Arabidopsis thaliana: one gene and its partners. The protein of the gene in region 3 interacts with the protein of the main gene of each other region in a pairwise test. Each region holds a gene or a part of one and is shown on either strand. Other genes may lie near its edges.

Region 1 (6,948 bases), on a different chromosome or scaffold from region 3:
TGAAGTGTCAAGAAATGAATAAGATGTCCACTCTCATCAAGAATTGGGCCGTCCATTATGCAAATAAGCTTATCTGCTCCTATAGCTAAAGCACAAGCTGTAGCAACCTCATAGGTACTGCAGAAGTAAAGTGGAATTAGAAAACTTTAATCTTTCTAAGGTTAATGGAAGAAGCATTTTTCTCTGGAGAAGAGCGAGCATACTTGCAATTTAAGACTTCTCCGGAGCTCGAGTGGCCCAAGTTCCTCAACAAAACTACAGAACCACCGTCAAGCCTCTCACAAATCCGATCTACATCTATCTTCTTTACCTCACCAGTCGCTCCAAAATCAACACCATCAACAACACCTCTTCTCTGCCACAACAAGACCCAAGATAATCATCGGTCATTATGAACGACATTAATAAGACTCAAGGTCGTATGAACAATAAAAAAAGTGGAAAATCTCACTTTTGCTGCAAAGAAGTTACCGGTATCAACCCTAACACCTATATCATGTAAACGACTACGATCACCATGTCTACGGATATTGCAAATAGAAGGTCCAGGAGATAATTTGGCCTCAAGCATCACTGATATTGCTCCTGCAGCTTCTTTAGCAGCCTGCAAAGATGCTGCATCCGTTACTCTGTAACGTCCCACATACGTAGCCTCGCGTCCTGCAACTCACACAGCATTAGACTCGTAGCTAACCAAACCATTTACTTGACGCTAGCAAGGTTTATAGTCTAGAATCTAACATCGTGACAAAGCTTATAATATTCTGACCTCTCTCAGCCAGAAGCTGGTCGATTTGCTCCTGAGTTCCAGGAACTAAAACAAACCTTATTCCTAGATGATGAAGAAACGCTATGTCCTGCACATATATCAAATCACTTCACCTTCTACTCAAATACGAGAACTGAAAACTCAAGCACATTGCAAAGAAAAGATCATATAACAAAGCAAAATAAGAATAGTAACAACTTTAGTTGAGGCAAGCAAACAATCGAACACCTTGCGTGCTTTTTTCTCATAAATCAAAGTATATAATACGGTGAAGAAAGACGGTACCTTCAAAATGGCATCACAAGAAGAGCCGGCGATGATCTCGCCGGAGATAATAACGACGAATGTGCAGCCACGGTGAGCCCAAAGATAAGGCCATGCTTCACGGAACCAACGCACAAACTGTTTGTCGTCAACTGGATGCTCAGCCTCCACATCGCCGGCTGCAGTCACCGCGTAGTCAAACATATTGCATTTCGCCGCCGTTATAGAACTAACCGGCTTAAACCATGAACAGTTAAACCGGAATTGAGTAGGGTTTAGCTTATTTTTTGGTTTGAATGACGAAAAATTCGACTTTGATTGGCGAAAGTGGTAAGGAACATAGTAGCTAGAAGTAGAAGAAGAACCCACTAAAGCTCCTCGCTCCATCTTCCTTAGACTTCGATGAGAGAAAGAATTCAAATAAATACTAAATTGTTATTGTAACTAAACCGGCAGGTGACGGCTGATTACGGTCGGAGAAGGCGGCAGTAGTACCGTAGTGGGACCCACGGTAAGTAGGTATTTTATTTATTGTTTATTTTTCCATATTTTCTTCAATAGTCTTTTTCTATTATTATTTATTGTTTATTTTTCCATATTTTCTTCAATAGTCTTTTTCTATTATTATTTATTGTTTATTTTTCCATATTTTCTTCTTTAGTCTTTCTCTATTACTATTTGACGGAACTCTTTGAATGTCTGGTCGTTACAAGCTTAAGTTGTGTCCCCACATGGAAGTTATTCGGTTGGGTCCATCGAAGGAAAATTGATTGAACCGGTCTGGTCATTCTCTCCCAAACTATAGAACCAATTTCGGTCTGCATCGGAGTTTCGAAGTCGCGGACTTATCAGAGTGGGCTTTTTAAGGAATGTTTTTAGAATATTTACCAGCCCAATCCCATTTTAAGTATGTCCAGATCTTAATTTGGCGAGCCTTTTTATATATGGTGAACAACTGATTCTAATGTGTATGTTTCACTTTTATTAGAGAAAAAATGTGAAAAGATTTAATGTGTATGTTTCACTTTTATTAGAGAAAAAATGTGAAAAGATTCTTAAAAGTATTTATTTATGCTAATTGGCAAAACTAAAACATCAATTTATGTACATCATTTTAGTTCTTCCTCTAAGATTTGATTGATTTGTATTAATGGCTCTGAATACTGATACTAGTTTCGTTGGCAAGTAAGATAAGTGATAACTTTGATAAAGAGTGTCAAATTACAAGTGCCACAATTTGGAGTACGTAACCAAATTGACATAAAACTTGAATAGGTGAAAAAACGAGCCAGAAAAAAAACGAATATCTTCTGCTTATCCGAATAAAACGAAAGTAATATTCTTACAAGATCCTTCCTTATGAAGTAGTGCCAGTAGATATTTTTATCATTGTGATTGCGACCTGTTTGTTGCGATTCATTTATGCCAATTCACGTTACTATTTATGTTGTGATAAAATCTTTTATTTTTCTTCTTCTTTCCAAATACTTAAGTATGCATGATTATTGATCCGTACAAGCATAAACGAAGAGCTATAAAGTCTCCAACGGTAAACGTACGTGAACCAAAATAACAATTCAATATTATGGTTCGAATTATTCTGTGTATTTTATGTAAGAAAATAACCAAAACCGACTCGAAACAAAACAAAAAAATCTTCTGAAATGTGAATCTTTATTTCGGAAAATTCTTAACGATAGATAGTTTTTGCTTTAAAATTAAATCCAAACATAAACTAGAACTGAAATTCAATTCGTTGTCAATATTTTCTATACAAAAAAAAAAAAGAAATCCGACCAAATAAACAAAACCATAAATAGACATCTCCATTTTTAGTTGAAAGATGATTAAATGCAATAAATGTGCCACAATCATAAATTTTTCCTTTTCACCTAATTGAAAATTTTAATCATTAATAAGAAGAATCCATGGAGCACAATTATTTTATTTTTTATTTTTTGCTCTCATATGGTATGTTAAATTAATTTTCCCTTAATTTAAATTCCCCATATCAAATAAGTTTTTTTTTTTTTGAGAAAGACTTGATTTCATAGGAGAAATATTTGTTAATATTTTCGACAAAACATTTTCTCTGTTTGATGTATTTCCATCCTCGTACAATAAATACTCTAGCTATTAAATTCTTAGCCCAAACGAAAATAAAGAAAAATAAAAGGGTCCTACTAATAAACAAAACAAAACTAGTGGTCCCAATTTGAAATATATAAAAATATATAAAATTCATAAAGCTTTGTGGCTTCAGAGCTTCCACTTCCATCGTCGTCTTCTATTTTTTCTTCTTTCTTCGATTTCATACCAAAACAAGAACTCTCTGTTTTCGACAAAAACGAAACCTTGAGATCTATTTTGATTGACTTTTAAGAAAGAGAGAGATCTTTCTTAGAAGATTTTGTCTCGTCGGCATTGAAGATCCAGGTAACAAAATCTCACCTTTTCTCTCCTAATTTCACGAAATCGAAGAAAAATTCTCATAATTCTCTTAATTACTTATCTCTCAATTTCTTAAATCTTACAGGGTTTGTCTTTCGAAATTCAGGTAATTTTCTCAAATCCATTTATGGATTGAAGCTTTAGGTAATGAATGAGCTGAATCTGCATATAAAAATCGATACTTTCATTATCCAGAACAAAACAAGATTTAGCATAAACGTTCAAAATTGAAACTTTGATTCCTAACTTCTTGGAATGATTCAGATTGAGCTAGATTTAGATCTGTATGATTGATATTATGGGTTTGGTTTGTTTATGAGTAGAGAGAAAATGGGTGATGAGGCAGAGATCAAGGAACATTTAAAGCCACAAGCTTCATCTGAAACAATGGACAAGAAACATAATGTGAAAGGGAAGAGGTTATGGCAGAAAGTCAAGTATCAATTGGTGGAGTTTCATTCATTGCCTGCTTATTTAAGAGACAATGAGTACATCATTGGTCATTACCGATCCGAATGGCCGATCAAACAGATTCTTCTCAGCATCTTTACCATTCATAATGAGACTTTGAATGTTTGGACGTAAGTGTTGAATCATGTTTCTTGATGTATCCTTGTTTAAAGTTCAAGAGCCTTGAGTGTGTTTGTGTGTGTGTGTTCTTTGGGATTTGCAGGCACTTGATTGGGTTTTTCCTGTTTTTGGCGCTCACTATATACACTGCAACGAAAGTACCGAGTGTCGTGGATCTTCATTCGCTTCAACACCGTTTACCCGATTTGTTGAGGAAAACAGATCTCCACAAACTTCATTCTGAGCTCATGGCTCGCCTTCCTTCTAGTCCATCTAGTTGGCATGTGATGGACCTTCTTTATAACTGTTTGCCTGAAAGATTTTCTCATGGCAACTACACTGACATGTGTGTTCTGGTAAGAAAAGACTCAATCTTTCTCTCTATTCCTGCAGATTACTGTTTCAAAATGTGGCCAAGTTCATATCTTTGTAATTGCATTGCAGCATTCTGTGAGGGAAGATCTTGCAAACTTGATAGCTCCTTTGATCTTCAGGCCAATTACTCGATGGCCGTTTTATGCATTTCTAGGTGGTGCTATGTTCTGTCTATTAGCAAGCAGCACGTGCCACCTCCTCTCATGTCACTCCGAGCGAGTCTCCTACATAATGCTTAGGCTTGATTACGCCGGCATCGCAGCTCTAATAGCGACTTCCTTCTACCCTCCGGTTTATTACTCCTTCATGTGTGATCCTTTCTTCTGCAACCTCTACTTAGGATTCATAACCATCTTAGGAATCGCCACTGTGCTTGTTTCTCTCCTCCCGGTTTTCCAAAGCCCGGAGTTTCGGGTGGTGAGGGCGTCTCTGTTCTTTGGAATGGGATTCTCTGGCTTAGCTCCGATTCTTCACAAGCTGATAATCTTTTGGGACCAACCTGAAGCCCTTCACACGACAGGTTATGAGATTTTGATGGGTTTGCTTTATGGGTTAGGAGCTCTGGTTTATGCAACTAGGATCCCAGAGAGATGGATGCCGGGTAAATTCGATATAGCAGGACATAGCCATCAGTTGTTTCATGTTCTGGTTGTTGCTGGTGCGTTCACGCACTATAGAGCTGGGCTAGTGTATCTTAAGTGGAGAGATATTGAAGGATGTTGAAGATGAAGATTGAAGATTAGATGGAATCTTTGAATCTTGTTTGTAGTAGCTTCATATAAAAGTTGGATTATGTAAAGTCTTATATGTAATCAAACGTTTAATTGTTTCCTTTATTCAACAAAGGATTTATATTGTTAATCCACATATGTATTACTGGTTAAAGAAGCTGAAGGATTCATATTTTTAGATGATTCCAGTCTTGATTGCAGCATTCAAAGTATCATAATCCAGTGTCAACCTCATATAGCCTCCTTGTGAACCTGACACAAGCCTAATTGTTCCATGGCAGAGGATACTTTGATTCTGATCTTCTTCTTGAAGGTTTCCCCTGATTGGTATACATTTCGAATGATCCATAAGTGTTGATAAACTACAAGTACACAAAATATGAAACAAAATCTATGCACATCAATAAAAATTCAGAAATCAATAAAATTTACTCTGAAAATGCAGAACATTTATAAGTGTTTGTTATTGTTTTCAATATATGAGAGGAGGAGCTCCCCTACTATTTTTATATTTTTAGCCAATGAGAGAGCTCCACTTCATACCCCACTTTTACCAATCGTGCTATTTCACAGCCACTCTCACTCATGTCGCGTTGAGCGCGTGTCTACGATTTCTAAAGGGGTTAATCCACAAAAATCATGCATTTTTGGATCCACGCACCTCATTCTCAAAAACCCATCGCGTGTCGTATTTTTTTTGGTTTTCTTCTCTAAACCAAATTAAACCGAACCGAGATCAATTTGAATTTCAAAACCAATGTAAACCCATCGCTGTGAAAACAAAAAGCTCGGCCACTGTAACAACAAAAATGGAGACGACACAACTTGGAAGAGAAATCAACTCGAAATAGCCAAGAGAATGTTCGTAAACCCCCTCAAATCCGATGCTTCCTTTGATTCCAACCTCCAAAAGCCCATCTGCTCAAACGAGGAGTATTACAAGGTACCTCTATAGAACAAGTATTCACTTCCATTCCCTTACTTGTGTTAGTTCAGCGCTTGAGAAATATTATGATCTTGTTTCAGACTTTCAGCTGTCAAGAGACAAGGCCCGTTTTACTATCAGGTAAAATCATGGTCAGCTTCTTGTCCCAAACCACATTGTTGTAATCGAATTTGTTTGTGTGTCTTTGTTGCAGGTTTCAAGAGCTCATGTAGATAATGATGACGTCTTTCTGCAAGAAGCTCTGGCTAGATACAAAGCATTTCTTATAATTTTGGTTTTCTCGATAAGAGAGGAAGTTGTTGTTTTTGTTGTCTACTCTTGAAGCTTGATCTGGTTTGAAATTCATGTTCAAAAGAAGAGAAGAGGCTGTTTCTCAAGTGGTTGACGAGAAATAGATTGTGTTTTGTCTTCTCTGTTTAGAAGAATGCCTGCTTGGTTAAAAGAGGTGATGATTGAGATTGATCTCAGTTGAGGAGCGTGGAGTTTTTGCTTGGGTTAATAAGCACCTTTGGTCTGTGTTGATTGTGTGTTTCCTAGCTTCAATTTATCCTTGGATGAAACACATAATCAACATGAGGGAAAAGAACTAGCATCATAATGATGAATATGAAGATTGGCTAAGAATGAGAAGAAGATGAAGTGGCGTTTATCAACTCTGTCTTTGTTAATTTGGAGTTGCTATTTAGCTTGGATTTTAGTTCTGAAAGATGTTCTGAAAACCTGAAAGCAAGATCTTTCCAATGATATAAAGATCGCGTTCTGGTTCCTTGTGGATTGTTTGGAAATTGTTCTTAAAGTTGGTCTCTCGCAGGTCGACATGTTTTTGGATCTGTCGTGGATTT
Region 2 (5,724 bases), on a different chromosome or scaffold from region 3:
CGAGTTTCATTTATTATCGTTATAACACTCACTGTCTCATTCGTCAAAGTCTTTAACAAAGTCAACGAACGACCATTAGCTTGGGCTTTCTCTCCACCGACGCGCCGCTCTCAGAATTTCCACTTACTCATTGTCTTTATATTCAAAAACTCAAAAAAAAAAAAGTATTAAGAATGGCTTAAGACCGAAACGTGTTTTCTCCTAGTCTGGCAAAACACAAAATAATAAATATAAGGAAACGCTTATGAATACTTTTCAATATTCTACATAAAGTCATTGAAAGAAGGATTGGAACAAAGTGAGAAGCAACAAAAAGAAATCAAAATCGTAGCTCCTAAGCAATACGTTTCTTCATTGGCAACGGTTTTGATTCCATTTCGACTCGAATGAAAAAAGGCCAAAGAGTATTCAGGCAATTACGGTGACGGTGGCAACAAATTATAGATTAAAACGAGCCAAAATAGAAGAAAGTGCCAACAAATCCGTGTGGGCACCAATCCAAAGTGGCAAAATCAATCAACCAGCTGTCCTCTCCCTCTAACTTCCGATCAAAGACTCTCTTTTTTTTTGTTTACGTTTTCTTTTCCTCATTCTCCTTGTCTTATTTTGATTGCATTATATTGAACTTGAGTTTAATCATTTTTCATTATTAAGGTTATTTATTTATAGACGCATGATGCATCAAGTCATAATAATTTCACCCGTGATGATCACATAATAATACTAATCCAAGACTCCATGTGTCGTACCCCAAAAATTTATCTCAATTATACTATGTACCTTATATTGTGCTATTTTTTTAACTAATAATTTCCCGACAATTTAGTAGTTGGAAATTTCTCGACCGTGTGATATAATCTATAATATAAAATATCATAATTATTAAACAATGATAAAATTTGTGAGCGACATTGGTATCAATTTCAAATCCAATTATTATGTTGACACAAGACTAGTGATTTATAGTATAACCAATTTAATGTCTAACGTAAAAACAATTACTATTAATTGATTTTCTATATCTGATCATATGTTCAACAAAACACATGCTAATCTACCCACCATTGGCGAATAAATTTATTGCAGAATATAACAGGAGAAAAATGCCAAGAAAAAAAAATCCTTATAAAAACGCACAAGAAAAAAGTAAAAGAGCTATTCTGTAAAATAAAAATGAAAAAAGTATTGAATCCTACATTAATAGATACAGGATATGATGTTCTGTTTCTCAACGGCTACATCTGTCTGTGATCCTTTTTTAATCCAACGATCCAGATCTCTCCTCATCGCCTATATAAAACTCACTTCTCTTACATCAAACAAACAACACGCTTGGTTAAACTCCATCAGTACTTTAACCATCACTTCAAAGTTCAAACTCTTTTTTTTTTTTTTGTTTGATCCAAATTTTAACAAAATTATGGATCGCAATTTCCTCCTAACAGTTACATTGATCTGCATTGTCGTCGCCGGTGTCGGTGGCCAATCTCCTATCTCTTCTCCGACCAAATCTCCCACCACTCCTTCTGCTCCAACTACTTCCCCTACTAAATCCCCCGCCGTTACTTCTCCCACTACGGCTCCGGCGAAAACTCCAACTGCTTCGGCTTCTTCACCGGTTGAGTCACCAAAATCTCCGGCTCCTGTTAGCGAGTCGTCTCCACCACCGACACCTGTTCCAGAGAGCTCTCCTCCGGTTCCTGCACCAATGGTTTCTTCTCCAGTGAGCTCTCCACCGGTTCCAGCACCAGTAGCTGATTCTCCTCCAGCTCCGGTAGCCGCTCCGGTTGCTGATGTACCGGCTCCTGCTCCAAGCAAGCATAAGAAGACTACAAAGAAATCGAAAAAGCATCAAGCTGCACCTGCTCCGGCTCCGGAACTTCTCGGTCCACCTGCACCACCGACTGAATCTCCCGGACCTAACTCCGACGCTTTTTCTCCCGGTCCTTCCGCCGACGATCAGGTACATTAGCTTATATCAACAATGTTGATATTTATCTACCGTCACAAGTTCGAGTATCAATGTTAAAAATAACCAATGAGACATTTCAAAACAGTGAACATAGATTTTCAATTTTTGTTATATTGATTTAGTAATTACATATTCGATTAACTAAAATGAAAATATGGAATTGAATGCAGAGCGGAGCAGCGAGCACAAGGGTGTTGAGGAATGTAGCGGTGGGAGCGGTTGCAACCGCATGGGCCGTTCTCGTTATGGCATTCTAAATTATTTATCATTTCACCTCTGATATTTTTTAGTTTTTATATTTTTGACCCTACCATTGTCTCTTTCTTTACGAATTTGGTAATGAGTATTATTTAATTGATTATACAGTTTGTTTTCTTTTATTTTATTTATATGGAAATAATAAGAATTCATATCTGTCAGTGATGAAAATACTGTTTTACACATTGATTGTTCTTTTCTTTTGCAGACAAAAGTCCTTTAGTGATGGGTCCGAGTTCTTTATTGAAAATGACACATTCAATTTTAATGCAGAATTATGGACATTTACTCTAAAATAAAATGTTTGTGTAAGTAACGTCTATGTAACAATAAGCAAAGCAGTTACATAATTTGTTTTAGTCTTTTAAATGTTTAAAGTGTTAGTAAATCAAATGTTGATATTTACGTTTGAAACCAATTACATGTGTTTCTTTAAACAAATATTTACAATTGGAGTATAATTATGCGAGAATGAAAGTGTCAGCTACTTAGTTGGATCTTAGTCTTTTATAATGTGAAGTTGGTAAATATTTATTGAATTCATATCTGATACCCAACTCAAGTGGCCAAGTTGCTATAAATGAATTGTCTAAAATTTATTACTAAACATGTATAGATCCAACCAATCATATAATACAATGCTTTTTATTGTACCTTTCAAATAGCTAGATTCATATTTTTGTCTTGTTCCTTAGAGAACTAGATTTGAAAAAGAAAAAAATTAATGGATATCTAATATGGTAGGCAAAAAGAAAGTGAGAATAGAGGACAAGTCATATTCCCCATGCTTTTATTAAAAGTACATTACTCAACTGTGAAGAAATGGCTAAGATTTTGTAAGTAAAGCACAAGTTATACTTGAACCAAGGTCTTGTGTAGAGATTCAAGATTCTTGGCTTTGCAAAGACACAAACCCACCAAGCCAAGTCTCTGATTCCACACACCAATACAAATTTGTATATAAACATAACATTTTCTTCTTCCTAAAGACTAACTTCTAGACAATATGGGTAGTTCAATGGGCTTTCTCGGAAAAGGTTTTGCAATTTTTTAACCTAACAATTATCGACTCAAATCGTTATATAACCGTTTTGACAAATTTTCGTCCTATATATCTTTCTAAATAGATTTCGATATTTGGCCTAGGGGTACCACCGACGCAGATGATGAATATGGTAATGGGTTCACTCTACAAACAATTTACCCAAAAAGCTATCAACAACTTCGACGATTTCCACGTTGCTGTTTTAGACATCTTTAAGTAAGGATTGTTTCATTATTTGATCATTCGAAAACAATGGTTATGTTGGCCAACATTTTTTTTTTTAAAAGGAATTTTATCTATTGAGTGCAGCAACTTCAACTCGGCTTTACCAGGCAGGCACTTCGATTTCCCAACCCCGGACCAAATAAAGGTGAGTCCTCTCCTCTATCAAAATCACACAAAGAATCTTATAATAATTTCTCTATATTTTTAACACAATGTTGAATGATCTAAACAGGTTTGTTTCGCGCGGTGGAAGGAAGCGAAAGACGAAGAAGAGAAGAAAAAATTGTTCATTGAGTTCATGTCAAAGAGCGTGAAGCCAAGTAAACTCGATGATGTCACTATGATCACCGGAATAGTATCTCCACCGGCGGCAATGGCGGCTAAGAGAGCAGGAGAGAATGTTCCTCAGTTAAAATTAATCAAACTTATACCTGATGTTATATTCGTCCCTACGGTCACCATTTTAGCCATTGTCTCTGCCAAACTCTCTAGACGAATGTATTTGAAATAGTGTTTTAACTAAGCTTTCTTTCTTTTCCAAACAAAAAAAACTTAGCACCGACAAGATATAAAACATGATTGATTGATAATACAAAATAGAGAAAAATATATACACTCTAAATTATAGAAGTAAAGTTCAAAAGTTGATGTAGTTTGAATATATTGTTGACATGAAGAATCAAAACACAGCCACTATAAATATTTCTTTGTACTTTAAAGGCTTAAGAGTTAAGAATATCTTAGAATGAACAATTTTTACTTTTTAACACAAGATCCGATTAGTTACTTGAAAGTTTCCAAACCTTCTTCAGGATCTTCTTCGTAACCCGGCAGAGCCTGACCTTCGTTTTCCTCGCTTTCTCTTCCTGTTGGAAAACCTAGAAGCCATCACAGCATTAGACTTTGGCTTCTCTCTTGAAACCCGACGCCTCTTTGGGTTACTCTCTTCCTTCGTAATGATTTCACGATTGCGCGGTGTTCTTTTCCTTACCTGCGTTGTGTTAGAATGGCATATGAGACCAAAAGGGTTTAGCAAAGTTACACTGAGTTAGCGGAAAACTTACAGGTCTTGATGGACCTTCCTCAATTGAAGCTTGTTCTGTCTTCACTAGATTCTTATCGGGAATAATAGATTTCCCTTCCCTTCGCTTTGATGCTAGAATCTCAGACAGTAAAATATCTGTTGTCTCGTCGTCTTCAGGTGAGACGTGATGAGATGAAACTGAAGCAGATTTCACCGGTTTTTCTTCAGAGATGATCGATTTCTCATCTTCGTTTTTGATAGCCAGCAGGGGCTTTTGTTGTTCTGAGCTGGTGTATACATCAGCAGCTCCAAGTGGATTCACTGTGTTAGCCAGAGGGAATATACTTGGATTTTCACTCAAAACCTTGTCTACGCGGATCTTCAAGTTACGGGCTTCTGACTTTGCTGCTTCAATTTTCAAAAGTATCTGTTCCAAGTACGCATCGCCTTCTCTAAACTCGAGAGGCGGTGTCTCTTCAGAGAAAGCTGTCTCATCCTTGGCGCTCTTATTCTTCTTATCTGATGACCCAAGACAGAAAATATTTTATAAGATCAAAGTTTTCAAAAGGAGTAATATCATATCATAGTTGAGATTTTAGAACACCATACCTAGGTTGCGGGAGTTGTCATTAAGAGCAATATCGGCCAAAGATTTCCGACAATCTATACAAAGATCAGAAACAATAAGATAAGAAATTATTAGACAAGTAATGGTAGATGAACATTAATCACGACCAGAAAGACAAGAACACCAAACTAGTTCCATACCATAATAAGAGAAGAGATTATGGTTTGATGCATAGGATGTAACATCAGCGGTCTCTTCAACTCGCTTTCTCGTTTTCCTCTTCATGAGTCGGGTTTTCTGAGTATAACATGGAAGAGGAGGTAAAGCCTTTACTCCAAGTTCTTCTGATTTGACATTTTCTAACTCCAACTTCTTGGCTTGGTAATATTCTTCAACTTCTTTGTCGTACTTCTGTGCTTGGTTCTGAAGTTCTTTGTATTTGAGTTCAATCCATTTGCAACGCCACATTAAAGTAGGCTGTACAAACCTCCTCCAATGATCAGTCAGCTTCCTTTTTCTGCCATAAAAAGGAACAAACCATAATAATTACCGCATACCATTCACGATATAGAGCAATTCTTCTCCTGACTTCCTTAAAAGGAGATAAATCAAAGACGCAGCTAGCTAAGTCG
Region 3 (6,896 bases):
TAAGCAGACCGCCAAAACCGTCCTTAATCTGTCAGACGGTTTCTTCGGATATGGAGGAAGGGTGGGGACTCTTCCGAACTCCAACGGTTGATAGACTGCTTCAGGATATGTGTACACCAGCACCATATAATGGAGCGCTCTAATGGATCCCGTAGATGCTGTGAAGCCAATATGCATGTGTTTCAAAACATACTGCGAGAGATCTCGGTTTAATGACAAAAGTGGTTTGCGTGGCGGAACAAGAAACTCAGCAGGGCATAAGGTAACATCGAGCTTTGTATCCGGATGACTATAAACGATCGAAAGCCGCATTAACTTTCCGCTGATCAAAGAAAGATTTTTGAAACTTCCATCATTATCATCATAGTAACCAGCAGAAGCAGAGGCAACAGATCTCAAGCCATTAATGTTAATCCCAACATGGTTATCATCAATATCTTCAAACTCTTCGTCTTTATGTATATCTAACTCTATAGCTATCACGTGATTCGAAGTTTTACCGTTGTTTGTTTTGTTGAATAATCCGAGGTACTGATCGGAGGAAGCTCCGGGAAGGCCTCTTGTAGGAGAAAAAGCGAAAGTCATACCGTGAGAGCCTTGCTGCTTATGCTCAGGGACAATAGCGAAGAAGAAGTTGATGGAGAAAGACTGGTCCTTCATTTCAAATGTTGTGTTGTCAAAAGCTTGACCGTAGGAATGCTTCGTGGTGTTCGTTAAAACCAAGTAACTATTTTCGTTGAAAACTGCAGATCCATCCAGGATATATGTGCCATGGGAGTTGTAAGTAAATGAAAACAGAGTAAGCCACTGAACAAGAACTATTTGTAAGACTTTGACTTCACTAAACATGTTCTTGTTCGTTTTTTTTTTTTGGCTTATGGGAAGGTTTTGATCGTAATGTGATATTTATCAGAAGAATTATGTAAGAAGATACAACATAAAAATAAGTAAAACTGTATGAATATGATCAAGCCAATATAATGTGAACGAAACTGGTCATGTCATAAACATATGTAGTTTGTATTTAATTACCCACATGGCCTAGATGATCAAACCGCAACACAATAAACAAATAATCTTCTGATCATTTTTCAATTAATAATAGCAATTATTGTGGGATTGTCAGAGTGTAGAAGCGGACCCATGTTAGGTTTGCAAACCTATTTTACTACTGAAATTTTGCTATATTGGTTATGAGATTATGACATCCTATTTGCTTTTTGTATTTTTTTTCTTCTTTTTACAAAACATTATTGTTAATTATTCTCTTGAATCTCTTCTTATCGTTCCATTAATGTGTTGATTAGTCTTAGGACTTAAACTATTGTTATTGTTGCTGTTTACCTATTGCTGTTAATTATTTATCTAATGAATATTCATGTTATATGCGGCCAACGAACTAAGATAAGTAAGCAAACTTAAGAGAGAAAAAACACATGTACACTATTTAGTAATTACGCACTGTGCATGGCCAAGATAAAGTCGTAAATCAATTATAAGAAAACAAATCTTCTAATTCTTGCTAAGATTAAATAGCGATTATAGTGGAAAGCATAATAAGCAATAATCAAAAAAACTTTTCTTCTCAGATCTCTACCAAAGAAATAAAAAGGTCAAAAAAGCTTCTCTTATCTTTTCTACAACCTAATCCGTCGAACATTACGGAGCGTAGAAATGGATAAACAATGTAAGTTTAACAACCAACGTGTTGACCATAAAATGTAAAAAAAATAAGTTTTTTGACATGTTTTAATGTAAAGTTTAACAGATTTTGTATTGGTCTACAGAAAAAAAAAAGTTAATTAAGTTATAAGTCATTGCTCTTGAAAATTTGGTTTTATAAACAAATTCGAACAAGATTACTTTGAAAGCAAGAATGAAACAAACATATTATAACCCTAAAAGTAAACCCTAGAAATTTAGGGATGAATTGGAAGGCATTCATGATTCAAAGATACAGAAACATGTACTCATTTATCAAATAGACGGATACAGAAGCTCCCGATGGAATATAAATGTTTGATCAAAACTAACTTATTTTTATGGTTTCAGCGTCCATGGGACACAAAAGAATTCGTCAACGTCATTGTACCAAAAGAATTCAGATCAAGACCAAGTAGTACTTCCATTGATGTCTCAGGAATTCCTCTCAATCTCTCAGCCCTAACAACATCAAGAAGATTATTGGGAAGATGCGAAACGCCATTCAAGATCTGCAAAACCGCACTCATGTTCGGTCTAATCAATTCAGTGTGATGTGCACACAACAGACCTAGCTTCAAAACAAGCTCAATTTCTCCTCTGTTTTGTTCTTGACGAATACTTTCCTCAGCTGCATCGAAAAGTTTCCCACTTTCCCAAAGCTCTAAAATCCAATCAACAAGAACCGCTTCATTTTCTGCTGCACGTCTCTCAATCAATCTTCTACCACAAACGACTTCAAGCATAACCAACCCAAAGGCGTAAACATCTGTGCTTGTGGTTGCTCTTCCTGTTCTTAAGAGCTCAGGTGCAATATAACCTAATGTTCCCGCTACTCTAGATGTCTGAGGATCAAATCCCTGATCATACAGCTTCGCCAATCCGAAATCCCCGAGCCTCGCATTCATGCCGTGGTCGAGTAGAACATTAGCCGGTTTTATATCTCGATGAACGATGACTTGTACCCATTCTTGATGCAGGTGTAGTAGAGCAGTTGCAACGTCTTTGATGATCTTGAAACGTTGTTCCCAAGTAAGCCGTTCTTGATTTTCATTCGTGTTGCTACGGGTTAGACACCTGTCAAGGCTTCCATTAGGCATAAAGTCATAAACTAAGTAGAGATTCTCTTTATGCTTACAATATCCCAAAAGCCTGACTAGATTTGGATGTCTGAGACGACCAATGGTCGATATCTCGGCTAGAAATTCGCTCATCCCTTGTCTTGAATCATGAGAAGTCCGTTTTACAGCGATCTCTGCATCGGAACCCGGAAGCATTCCTTTGTAGACTTGACCAAAGCCTCCTTTCCCAAGAAGTTGTTTCTCTTTGAAACCCTTTGTGGCATTGAAAAGCTCCTTATAAGAAAACCTATGAGGTCCATTCTGAATCTCCCATTCTTCAAGAACCTCCTTAACCTTCTTATGCCTCACATAAAAGACAAAACCTATTCCGGAAGCGACTAATGCAGTGAACACGGCCAACGTTAAGCAGACCGCTAAAATCCTCCGTGTTCTATCATACGACTTCTTTGGATATGGAGGAAGGGTTGGGATTACGCCAAGGTCCCATGCTGGATATATAACTCCTTCTTCATAGGAAAATTGCATCACATAATAGAGTGCTCCGATCGACCCGGTCGATGCCGTGAAACCCAAGTACGTCTCCTCCAAAAAATAGGGCGAGAGATCTCGGTTCAAAGACAAGAGCGATTTTTGTGGCGGAACAGAGATTTCAGCAGGTAATAAAGTAACATTGAGCTGTTTATCGGTGTGACTATAAACGATGGAAAGCCTCATTACCTTTGTGCTGATCAAAGAAAGCTTTTTGAAGTTTCCATCTTCATCATCATAGTAACCAGCAGAAGCAGAGGCAACAGATGTCAAACCATTAATGTTAATCCCAACATGATTATCATCAATATCTCCAAACTCTTCGTCTTTTCGTATATCTAACTCGATAGCTATAACGTTATTCGAGGCTTTACCGTTGTTTGTCTCGTTAAAGATTCCCAGGTATTGATCGGGGGAAGCTCCGGGAAGGCCTCTTGTAGGAGAGAAAACGAAAGCCATACCGTGTGAACCTTGCTGCTTATGTTCAGGGACGATCCCGAAGATGATGTTGAATGAGAAAGATGAGTTCTTGATGGGAACGGGAGTGTTGTTGAAAGCTTGACCGTAGGAATGCTTCGTGGTGTTTGTTAAAAGGCAATAACCGTTTAAACCTGCAGCTGCAGCTTCTTCCATGAGGAAGTTGCCATTGGAGTTGTGAGTAGATGAAAACAGAGTAAGCAACAGAACGAGAACTATTTGTAAGACTTTATGAGACATGTTCTTGTTTGTTATTTTTTGGCTTATGGGAAGGTTATGATCTTAATGTAATATTTATCATCTCATAAGAATTACGGTCGAAAATAATGGGAACCCAACGTTCTTTTTTTCTTTTTATTTTTGTTATTCTTCGTTAGTAATAAAAAAACATATGTATTTAAGCACATGAGCTAGATCAAGTCGTAAAGCAATTATAGTGGGACTGGTAGAGCGTGTCGTCAAAAGACAGAACTTTTCTACGATCTTAATACTTTGAAGTATTAAATTACTAATAACAACAGTGTGAAAAGCATAATTAAAAAGCAGCAATCCAACAAAGCTATTTTTCCACAACCATTTTGTAGAAAAAACAACGTATGTTTAACATTTTTAATTTAGTGTAGATTCTAACAAATTCTCTACTGGTCTGAAGGCAAAAGTGAAGTTATATGTCACTAATTTGTCATGGTTTGATCATTATATATTGAGATTAATCCTATGTAGTGTAACAACATCAAAGTAGTTTAGAATGTTTTTGGTTATATGTCACTGATTTGGCAATTCACGCCATTTTGTTTTGACGCCATTGCTCTTGAAAGTTCGGTTTCTTAAACAAATCCAACAAGAAAACTTTGAAAGCAGAAAATACAAAACATATTATATGTTGAGTCCTAAAAATTTAAGATATAAGAACTTGGGGATGAAACGGAAGGCTTTACTGATTCAAGATAAAGAAACCCTAATGTAGTGATTCATCAAATAGACGATACAAAAGCTTGAATGTAACTGTTCATTCAAACTAACTTCTTTAACGGTTTCAGCGTCCATGGGACAAGAAAGAATTTGTTAATGTCATTGTACCAACTGAATACAGATTAAGACCAAGTAGTACTTCGATTGATGTTTCAGGCATTCCTCTCAAGTTCTCAGCTCTTACGACATCAAGAAGATTATCTGGAAGCTGCGAAACGCCATTCAAGATCTGCATAACCGCACTCATGTTCGGTCTAATCAGTTCAGTGTGATGTGCACACAACAGACCTAGCTTCAAAAGAAGCTCGATTTCTCCCCTGTTTTGTTCTTGACGGATACTTTCCTCAGCTGCATCGAAAAGTTTCCCACTTTCCCAAAGCTCTAAGATCCAATCCACAAGAACTTCTTCATTTTCCGGTGCACGTCGCTCAATCATTCTTCTACCACAAACAACTTCAAGCATTACCAACCCAAAGGCATAAACATCAGTGCTTGTGGTCGCTCTTCCTGTTCTTAGGAGCTCAGGTGCGATATAACCAAATGTTCCCGCTACTCTAGATGTCTGAGGGTCAAGTCCCTGATCATACAGCTTTGCCAATCCGAAATCCCCGATCCTTGCATTCATTTCGTGGTCGATTAGGACATTAGCTGGTTTGATATCTCTATGAATGATGATTTGTACCCATTCTTGATGCAGGTGTAGTAGAGCAGATGCAACATCTTTGATGATCTTGAAACGTTGTTCCCAAGTGAGCCGTTCTTGATTCTCATTACGGTCTAGATACTTGTCAAGGCTTCCATTGGGCGTAAAGTCATAAACCAAGTAGAGATTCTCCTTATGCCTACAATATCCCAGAAGCCTGACTAGATTTGGATGCCTGAGACGACCAATGGTCGATATCTCGGCTAGAAACTCGCTCATGCCTTGTCTTGAATCATGAGAAGTCCGTTTTACAGCGATCTCTGCATTGGAACCCGGGAGCGTTCCTTTAAAGACTTGACCAAAGCCTCCTTTTCCAAGAAGTTGTTTCTCCTTGAAATCCTTTGTGGCATTGAGAAGCTCCTTATAGGCAAACCTATGAGGTCCATATTGAATCTCCCATTCCTCAAGAACCTCCTTAACCTTCTTATGCCTCGTATAGAAGACAAAACAGATTCCCGAGGCGACAAACACAGCGAACACAGCAAGCGTTAAGCAGACCGCTAAAATCTTCTTTGTTCTGTCAGACGATTTCTTCGGATATGGAGGAAGGGTTGGGACTACGATGAACTCCCATGTTGGATTCTCAACTTTTGGAGTAGCGTACGAACTCAACATATAATGAAATGCTCCAATGGATCCAGTCGATGCCGTGTAGCCATAATACATCTCCTCCAAAAAATACGGGGAGAGATCTCGATTCAAAGACAGCAGTGGTTTCCGTGGCGGAACAGGGATCTCAGCCGGGAATAAAGTAACATTGAGCTGTTGATCAGGATGACTATAAACGATAGAAAGCCGCATTACCTTTCCGCTGATCAAAGAAAGATTTCTGAAGATTCCATCTTTATCATCATAGTAACCAGCAGAAGCAGAAACAACAGATGTCAAACCATTGCAACATGATTATCATCAATATCTCCGAACTCTTGGTCTTTTTGTATATCTAACTCGATAGCTATAACGTGGTTTGATGATTTACCGTTGGTTGTTTCATTGAATAATCCGAGGTACTGATCGGAGGAAGCTCCTGGAAGGCCTGCTGTAGGAGAGATAACGAAAGACATGCCATGTGAACCGGACTGTGTATGCTCAGGTACTATTCCAAAGAGGAAGTGGAAGCTGAAAGACGAATCTTTTATGGGAATGGATTCGTTGTTGAAAGTTTGACCGCAGGAATGCTTCTTGGTGTTCGTTAAAATGGTGTCACCAATGGAGTTGTCAGCTGCAGAGCCCTCCAGGGTCCAGTTTCCATTGGAGTTGTAAGTAGATGAAGACAGAGTATAGAGCAGAACAAGAACTATATGCAAGACTTTGAGTTCACTAGGCATGTTAGGATTTTTTTTGTTTTTGCTTATGGGAAGAAATTGATCATATGAGATATTTTTATCATCTCATTGAGAGTTAAGTAAGAGTATAAAAGAATTCCAAACTGC
Region 4 (5,748 bases), on a different chromosome or scaffold from region 3:
ACCTATAAATGTCTCCTCCTCTCTCTAGCATTTTTACGTTTCATCTGTAGCTTACTAGAAAGGTAAGATCCTAAACCGATACCGACATCAACGATTCTGGTATCACCGGTTATTTCTTCCTTTACAGCATCTTCAAGAAACAGTTTGATCTTCTCCGACTCATCTTCATTACAGATTAATGGAATTACCATCTCCCAAGTGTCTGAATGCAATGTTTCTCCGTTCTTCATCACAACCTCTACAACATCACAAGCTTCTTCGACTTTCCCGAAGCTACAAAACCCTTTTACCAAACAATTTGAAACCGAGAAATGAGGAGAAAACCCTTTGGATATCATCTCTTCTAGATACTTCTTCCCTTCATCAAACATTCCTTGATCACACAATCCTCCAATCAAAGTCCTATACGAGACCGAATTAGGCGAGCAACCGTTAGACAACATATCATCAAGAACTTTCCTAGCATCCATCGCACGATCTTCTCTACAAAACCCGAGAATCATCGTGTTGTAATGAACAAGATCAGGATTACAACCTTTTAACTTCATCCTACATAGAAGCTTATAAGCCTCTCTAAGCTGTGTCTTCCTACACAAACTGTTCAACAATGTCGTGTAACTTAACCTATCAGGCACGAATCCTTTATTCAACATATCATCAAGTAATTCCATAGCACCATTCACTTGACCTTTCCTACAAAACCCTTGTATCAGAATCTTATAAGAATCCACATCAGGGACAACATCTCTCTCAAGCATTTTACCAAACAGTTGGTATGCAATACTCAAATCATCATTCAAACAAAAAGCTTGCATCAATAAATTGTAACTTCTCGTGTTAGGCATTACTCCATGAAGCCGTGAACTCTTGAAAAGCTCAAAAGCTTTCTGGAGATAACCTCTATGGCTTACGAGAACATCTAGAATCCGATTCAGATGTTTTGGCTGCGGCGTGAAATTGAACTCCAGCATTTTGTAAAACGTACTTAAGACTTTCTCCGGTAACTTTGCTTCTGCGTAGACTTTGATCAGATAAGTGAAAATTTCTCCGGTTAATGGATAACCACTTGATCTGTGTTTGGCGAGAACGTCGTCGATAAGATTGAAATATCTACCACGGCCGAGTTTGAGAATGAGGATTAGATGAGAAGATCGAGAATGGCGGAAATTGGGCTGTTGAGAAGCATAATCGAAAATCTCCTTGGCGAGGAGAGGATCCGATTGCGAAGCTATGAGCTTTTGAACCCGAGTCGGAGACCCGATTGGGGATTTAGGGTTCGAGACAATCGGTTTTCGAGCTTCATGTTCAGATGAAGAATAGAACAGAAAACGCGAGGATGTCGATAACGGAGAAGTTAAGTGGCGAAAAACGGCGGCGAAGTCGTAGATCGGCCGGCGAATCATTTGTCGGAGTTTTTTTTTAATAAATCGGCCGTTGGAAGTGAGACTTGTATCAGTCAGCAAATTATCAAATATCTCTCTGTACACAATAGTTTTAGTGTAGGCCCAATTTTATAATGGGCTTATAATTGAGGCCCAGGTAGCATCCACAGCATTGTCGGTGACTACAGTGTCGGTGGTGCGGTATCTCAGTTAGTGTGATTAAATAACAGATTCTTCTTAAATGTGATTATTATTTATTTTGGAAGCTTACTAATAATATATGGAATTTGGTCAGAAGTATTGTTGGAGATGTGGACATAAAAGACTTGTACTTTTATTTTCTAAACATTAGAACAAATATGACACATGTGGTATCTAATTAATTTATTATTAATTGCTTTATACAGTTGATAAAGAATTGTGAAATATGATAATTTAATTTTCTTTCTACATAACCGTATTCTGGCATGCAAACAGATATTAGGTTATTGCTAACTTTGACAGGCCGTAACCTGATAAATTTCATTCTAATTTTTTTAAAAATTAACACGGCCAAAAAGTGATAGTTATCACGTTGCACGAAACCATAGTTGTCACCAAATAAGTCAATCATTGACAACAAAGTATTTGATTATGTATAGCCATATGTATACACGTTACATTGGATTTTTCATTTTTAAAAAATTCATCACTCATCAGATCCGTCACGTGAACGGTTGCACCGAGATTTGGAGTCTTTCGAAAGTACTTCTCTATCTTATATTATTACATTAAGTATTATAACAAAATAAAATCACAATGTAAAAACAGTAGTAATTTACGGCTACTTTATAAAAAGATTAGCTTTAACACATAATTACAACTACAAGCTTTCTAAGTTAATAAACAATTAATAAAACTGTACTCTAGAAGACTGTTTACTCTTATTAACTAGAAAAGAGACAAAACCTTGCATCTACTTATCTTCTTTCTTCTCCTCCTCCTTCTTTAGAGTCTTCACTCTTCACCGAACCCTCTGATTCTCGTATAGACACACACATACCTATACATACACACTTTAACACTTATATCTGTAGAGTATAGCCATGGGAGAAGGAGAAGCAAAAGCAGAGCACGCAGCCAAAGCAGATCACAAGAACGCTCCCTCCGCTTCTTCAACGCCAGAATCTTACTCTAAAGAAGGCGGAGGAGGCGGTGGAGATGCTCGCCGCGCAATCTGCGGCGCGATCTTCACCATCCTTGTCATACTAGGTATCATAGCCTTAATCCTTTGGCTCGTCTACCGTCCACATAAACCACGTCTCACCGTCGTCGGAGCCGCCATCTACGACCTGAATTTCACAGCGCCGCCGTTAATCTCAACCTCCGTTCAGTTCAGCGTTTTAGCAAGAAACCCTAACCGGAGAGTCTCCATTCACTACGACAAGCTCTCTATGTACGTAACGTACAAAGATCAGATCATAACACCGCCGCTTCCACTACCACCGCTTCGTTTAGGACATAAATCTACGGTTGTGATAGCTCCGGTGATGGGAGGCAACGGTATACCAGTCTCGCCGGAAGTAGCTAATGGTTTAAAAAATGATGAAGCTTACGGCGTCGTTTTGATGAGAGTGGTGATTTTTGGGAGGCTACGTTGGAAAGCTGGTGCGATTAAGACTGGACGGTATGGATTTTACGCCAGATGTGATGTGTGGTTGAGATTTAATCCATCTTCTAACGGACAAGTTCCTCTTCTCGCTCCTTCAACTTGTAAAGTTGATGTCTAGTCTTAATTTTACTTCGTTATGTTTTCTTTTTTAATCTTTGTGTTTTAGAATTGTAATCTTTTTTTTTTGTGGTCATGTTAGTGATGAGTTTCGTCGAGTCTAGTGTTAAAATAAATTAAAAGGCATAAGCCAAAAATTATAAGTACAAGTATATTACTAATTTTATATTTTACTTGTGATAATTATTTTGTTTCTCTGTTGTTGGACCTGTGGATGTTAATTAATGACATTTGACAATACAAATGTGTTGTCGCTAATAGCGTATCTTGGCATATGGTGAGTTCATCGACACAACAGCTCAGAGTGTTTGATCAGACATATGGCATCTTCAGGCAAATCTCATTTTGGTTTTATCATATATATATTTTTCCCCCATTATTACGGAACTATTTCCTCACGATTATAATTAAATACTTAGAATATTACTATGCTTTTCTGTTTTCCGATTCAATGATATTGTTTTTTTGTAAATCTGAATCGGACGTTAGGAGTCTTCTGAATATAAGTTACATTTTTTGAATGAAGCATCCGTTTAAAACGAGTGACTAAAATGATCGTGACTCCACAAGTCATCGCGTCAAATGTAAAATTTTCATGTGAAACAGTGAAAGCGTCAAATCTAAATAATATTGTGGATGATTGTTGTGAATTTGATTAGTTGACCTGATTCAAAAATTTGATTGGTATATCATGTCAATTTTTTCTCTTTGGTTTTGGCAACTTATATCATGTCCAATTTCTTTTTGTGTTACCATTTTTCTCGAATTTTCACACGTTTGTTCTTTTTCTTTTTCCTCTTTTCCTTTTCCAAAACCCCATTTTGTCTTCACGAACCGATCTTTGCTTTTAAGTTTTCATATCACAGCTTTAGCTTTGTGGTTAAAAACAATTACTTTCTATCCTCGTTAAATATTAAAGATTTCTTTCGATAGTTAATATGTTTATATAATAATTAACCTTCTATATTTCTTATAACAAATTACCTATGTGATTTTCGGATAAAAATATTTTTAAACAAAAACCTCTAGCAAACACCTCATCTGATTTTACCGGAGAAAGGTTGGGAAAATCCTCGGAATGTCCCTGTACAATAAAAGTTAATTTTAGAATAATTATCTCGATTTATAAAACAAGAAAAATAAAATAAAAGAAGATAATAGTAATATATGCATAAACACACATATATAAAAGCTGTTTTTGAAAGATGTATATATATTACTTTTTTTGTAAAACGAAAGATGTATCTAAAACATGCAATTTATCAGCGAATATTAAGAAAATGGTTAGGAAAAACAAACAAACGAATTACTTCAAGAAAGGGATAGTCATGTTCTTTAGTGTCAAAGGATAGGTGGCAACAAAATTCTCCCATTCTTCCAAATCTATTATCCCATCTTTTTTCCAATCGGCCTCTTCAAATGTCTTTGCCAAATATAAGTAAACAAAAATAGTAAGTAAAATCACTATAATGTTAAATCAAGCTCATAAACTTAAGCGTTATACACACCTTAGACACGATAGAATCAATGATACTCTCGGATAGCATAAGTTCTGATTCCTCTAGAACGTCTATTATCATCTCTTTCACCTATAGATTTCTCCAAGTCGAGGAAAACCGTCAAATATAATTAATCATGACTTTTTCTTTTTTTTGAGACAAAGTTTACATACGTACCTCCTCCGGTTCAATGAATCCAGTCTCACGAGTATCGTATAATCTAAATGCAACTGTTTAATTTTAAACAAGTGATCAGATGTATTTGTGGTTATAGTTAATAACATTGATCTCTAGCTATATAGAAAATAATAATAACATGGAATAAATGAATAAACACATTAGAAGTGATGAAGCATACATATGGCCTTATCTCTTGGTGATGAGTTTGGGTGAAAAATGTTGAGTGTGTGTACAAACTCTCCAAAATCTATAGCCCCATCGTTTCTCATATCGAATAATCCAAAAATCTGCATATTTCAGAGAAACAACATCAATCGAAGTTTATTTATTTATTTCGCTTAATATAACAAATTCAATTACCCGTTCTGCAGAAAGACTGCGCTTTTTGGTATTCTTGATCAAGATAAATTGAAATTTTTCCTGGAAAAGCCAACCAAATTTGACATGACAAAAGCACAACTTTTCTATAACTAGCTAGTATAAAATTTAGATGTTATATTATTCACATTTTGTTGACCAAAAAAAAATTATTCACATTGTGGAAGAAAAATTAGTTTGGACTCTAACTTTGGTCAAAAGATTGTCGTTGCTAAGACAAGAAGTGAGTTTGATGAACAATCCATGCAAAACTTCAACCTCAGCCTCGCTAACTGCAAACCCAAAACAATTTAGATGTTATCTGATCTACAAGCTCGTGTAATAATATTCTTTCTCCATGCAATATAATATATAGGAGGAGGAAGTGGTGGATGATTGAAGTAGACGTAACTTACAAAAGGTTTGAGAAGCAAGAAGCGAAATGTCTTCTTGCCTTCTTCCTTCTAATTGCTTGCTGCAAACACATCCCATTTTACTATATCAATATATATTTCAAATTCCACATACATTTAAGTGTGTCTATATATATAGGCATCAACGT

What was found.
Region 1: the proteins of AT3G59740 (region 3) and HHP4 interact in a protein complementation assay, tested with the Arabidopsis thaliana proteins (one large-scale study listed by BioGRID).
Region 2: the proteins of AT3G59740 (region 3) and AT4G37445 interact in a protein complementation assay, tested with the Arabidopsis thaliana proteins (one large-scale study listed by BioGRID).
Region 4: the proteins of AT3G59740 (region 3) and AT4G01410 interact in a protein complementation assay, tested with the Arabidopsis thaliana proteins (one large-scale study listed by BioGRID).

The regions. Positions count from the first base shown.
Region 1 is NC_003075.7:17,697,417-17,704,364, forward strand, and holds HHP4 (heptahelical protein 4), read left to right. Parts: upstream 1-3,217; 5' UTR 3,218-3,469; intron 3,470-3,569; exon of another isoform or gene 3,570-3,590; 5' UTR 3,591-3,799; coding exon 3,800-4,065; intron 4,066-4,157; coding exon 4,158-4,410; intron 4,411-4,498; coding exon 4,499-5,152; 3' UTR 5,153-5,536; downstream 5,537-6,948. Other genes in the region: NAGS2 (N-acetyl-l-glutamate synthase 2), read right to left, coding at 1-117, 204-355, 452-660, 770-857, 1,055-1,420; AT4G37682 (hypothetical protein (DUF1399)), read left to right, coding at 6,045-6,103, 6,187-6,226, 6,300-6,428. UniProt on the Arabidopsis thaliana protein: May play a role in abiotic stress response.
Region 2 is NC_003075.7:17,602,431-17,608,154, reverse strand, and holds AT4G37445 (calcium ion-binding protein), read left to right. Parts: upstream 1-3,210; 5' UTR 3,211-3,236; coding exon 3,237-3,267; intron 3,268-3,357; exon of another isoform or gene 3,358-3,376; coding exon 3,377-3,491; intron 3,492-3,584; coding exon 3,585-3,645; intron 3,646-3,732; coding exon 3,733-4,011; 3' UTR 4,012-4,061; downstream 4,062-5,724. Other genes in the region: AGP18 (arabinogalactan protein 18), read left to right, coding at 1,214-1,963, 2,143-2,229; AT4G37440 (uncharacterized protein), read right to left, coding at 4,309-4,491, 4,565-5,043, 5,134-5,187, 5,293-5,609.
Region 3 is NC_003074.8:22,065,031-22,071,926, forward strand, and holds AT3G59740 (Concanavalin A-like lectin protein kinase family protein), read right to left. Parts: upstream 4,029-6,896; coding exon 2,049-4,028; 3' UTR 1,957-2,048; downstream 1-1,956. Other genes in the region: AT3G59730 (Concanavalin A-like lectin protein kinase family protein), read right to left, coding at 1-849; AT3G59750 (Concanavalin A-like lectin protein kinase family protein), read right to left, coding at 4,825-6,267, 6,354-6,791.
Region 4 is NC_003075.7:575,841-581,588, forward strand, and holds AT4G01410 (Late embryogenesis abundant (LEA) hydroxyproline-rich glycoprotein family), read left to right. Parts: upstream 1-2,187; 5' UTR 2,188-2,467; coding exon 2,468-3,151; 3' UTR 3,152-3,447; downstream 3,448-5,748. Other genes in the region: AT4G01400 (oligomeric golgi complex subunit-like protein), read right to left, coding at 3-1,403; CBL5 (calcineurin B-like protein 5), read right to left, coding at 4,198-4,234, 4,461-4,573, 4,659-4,739, 4,827-4,879, 5,008-5,116, 5,190-5,249, 5,397-5,479, 5,603-5,678.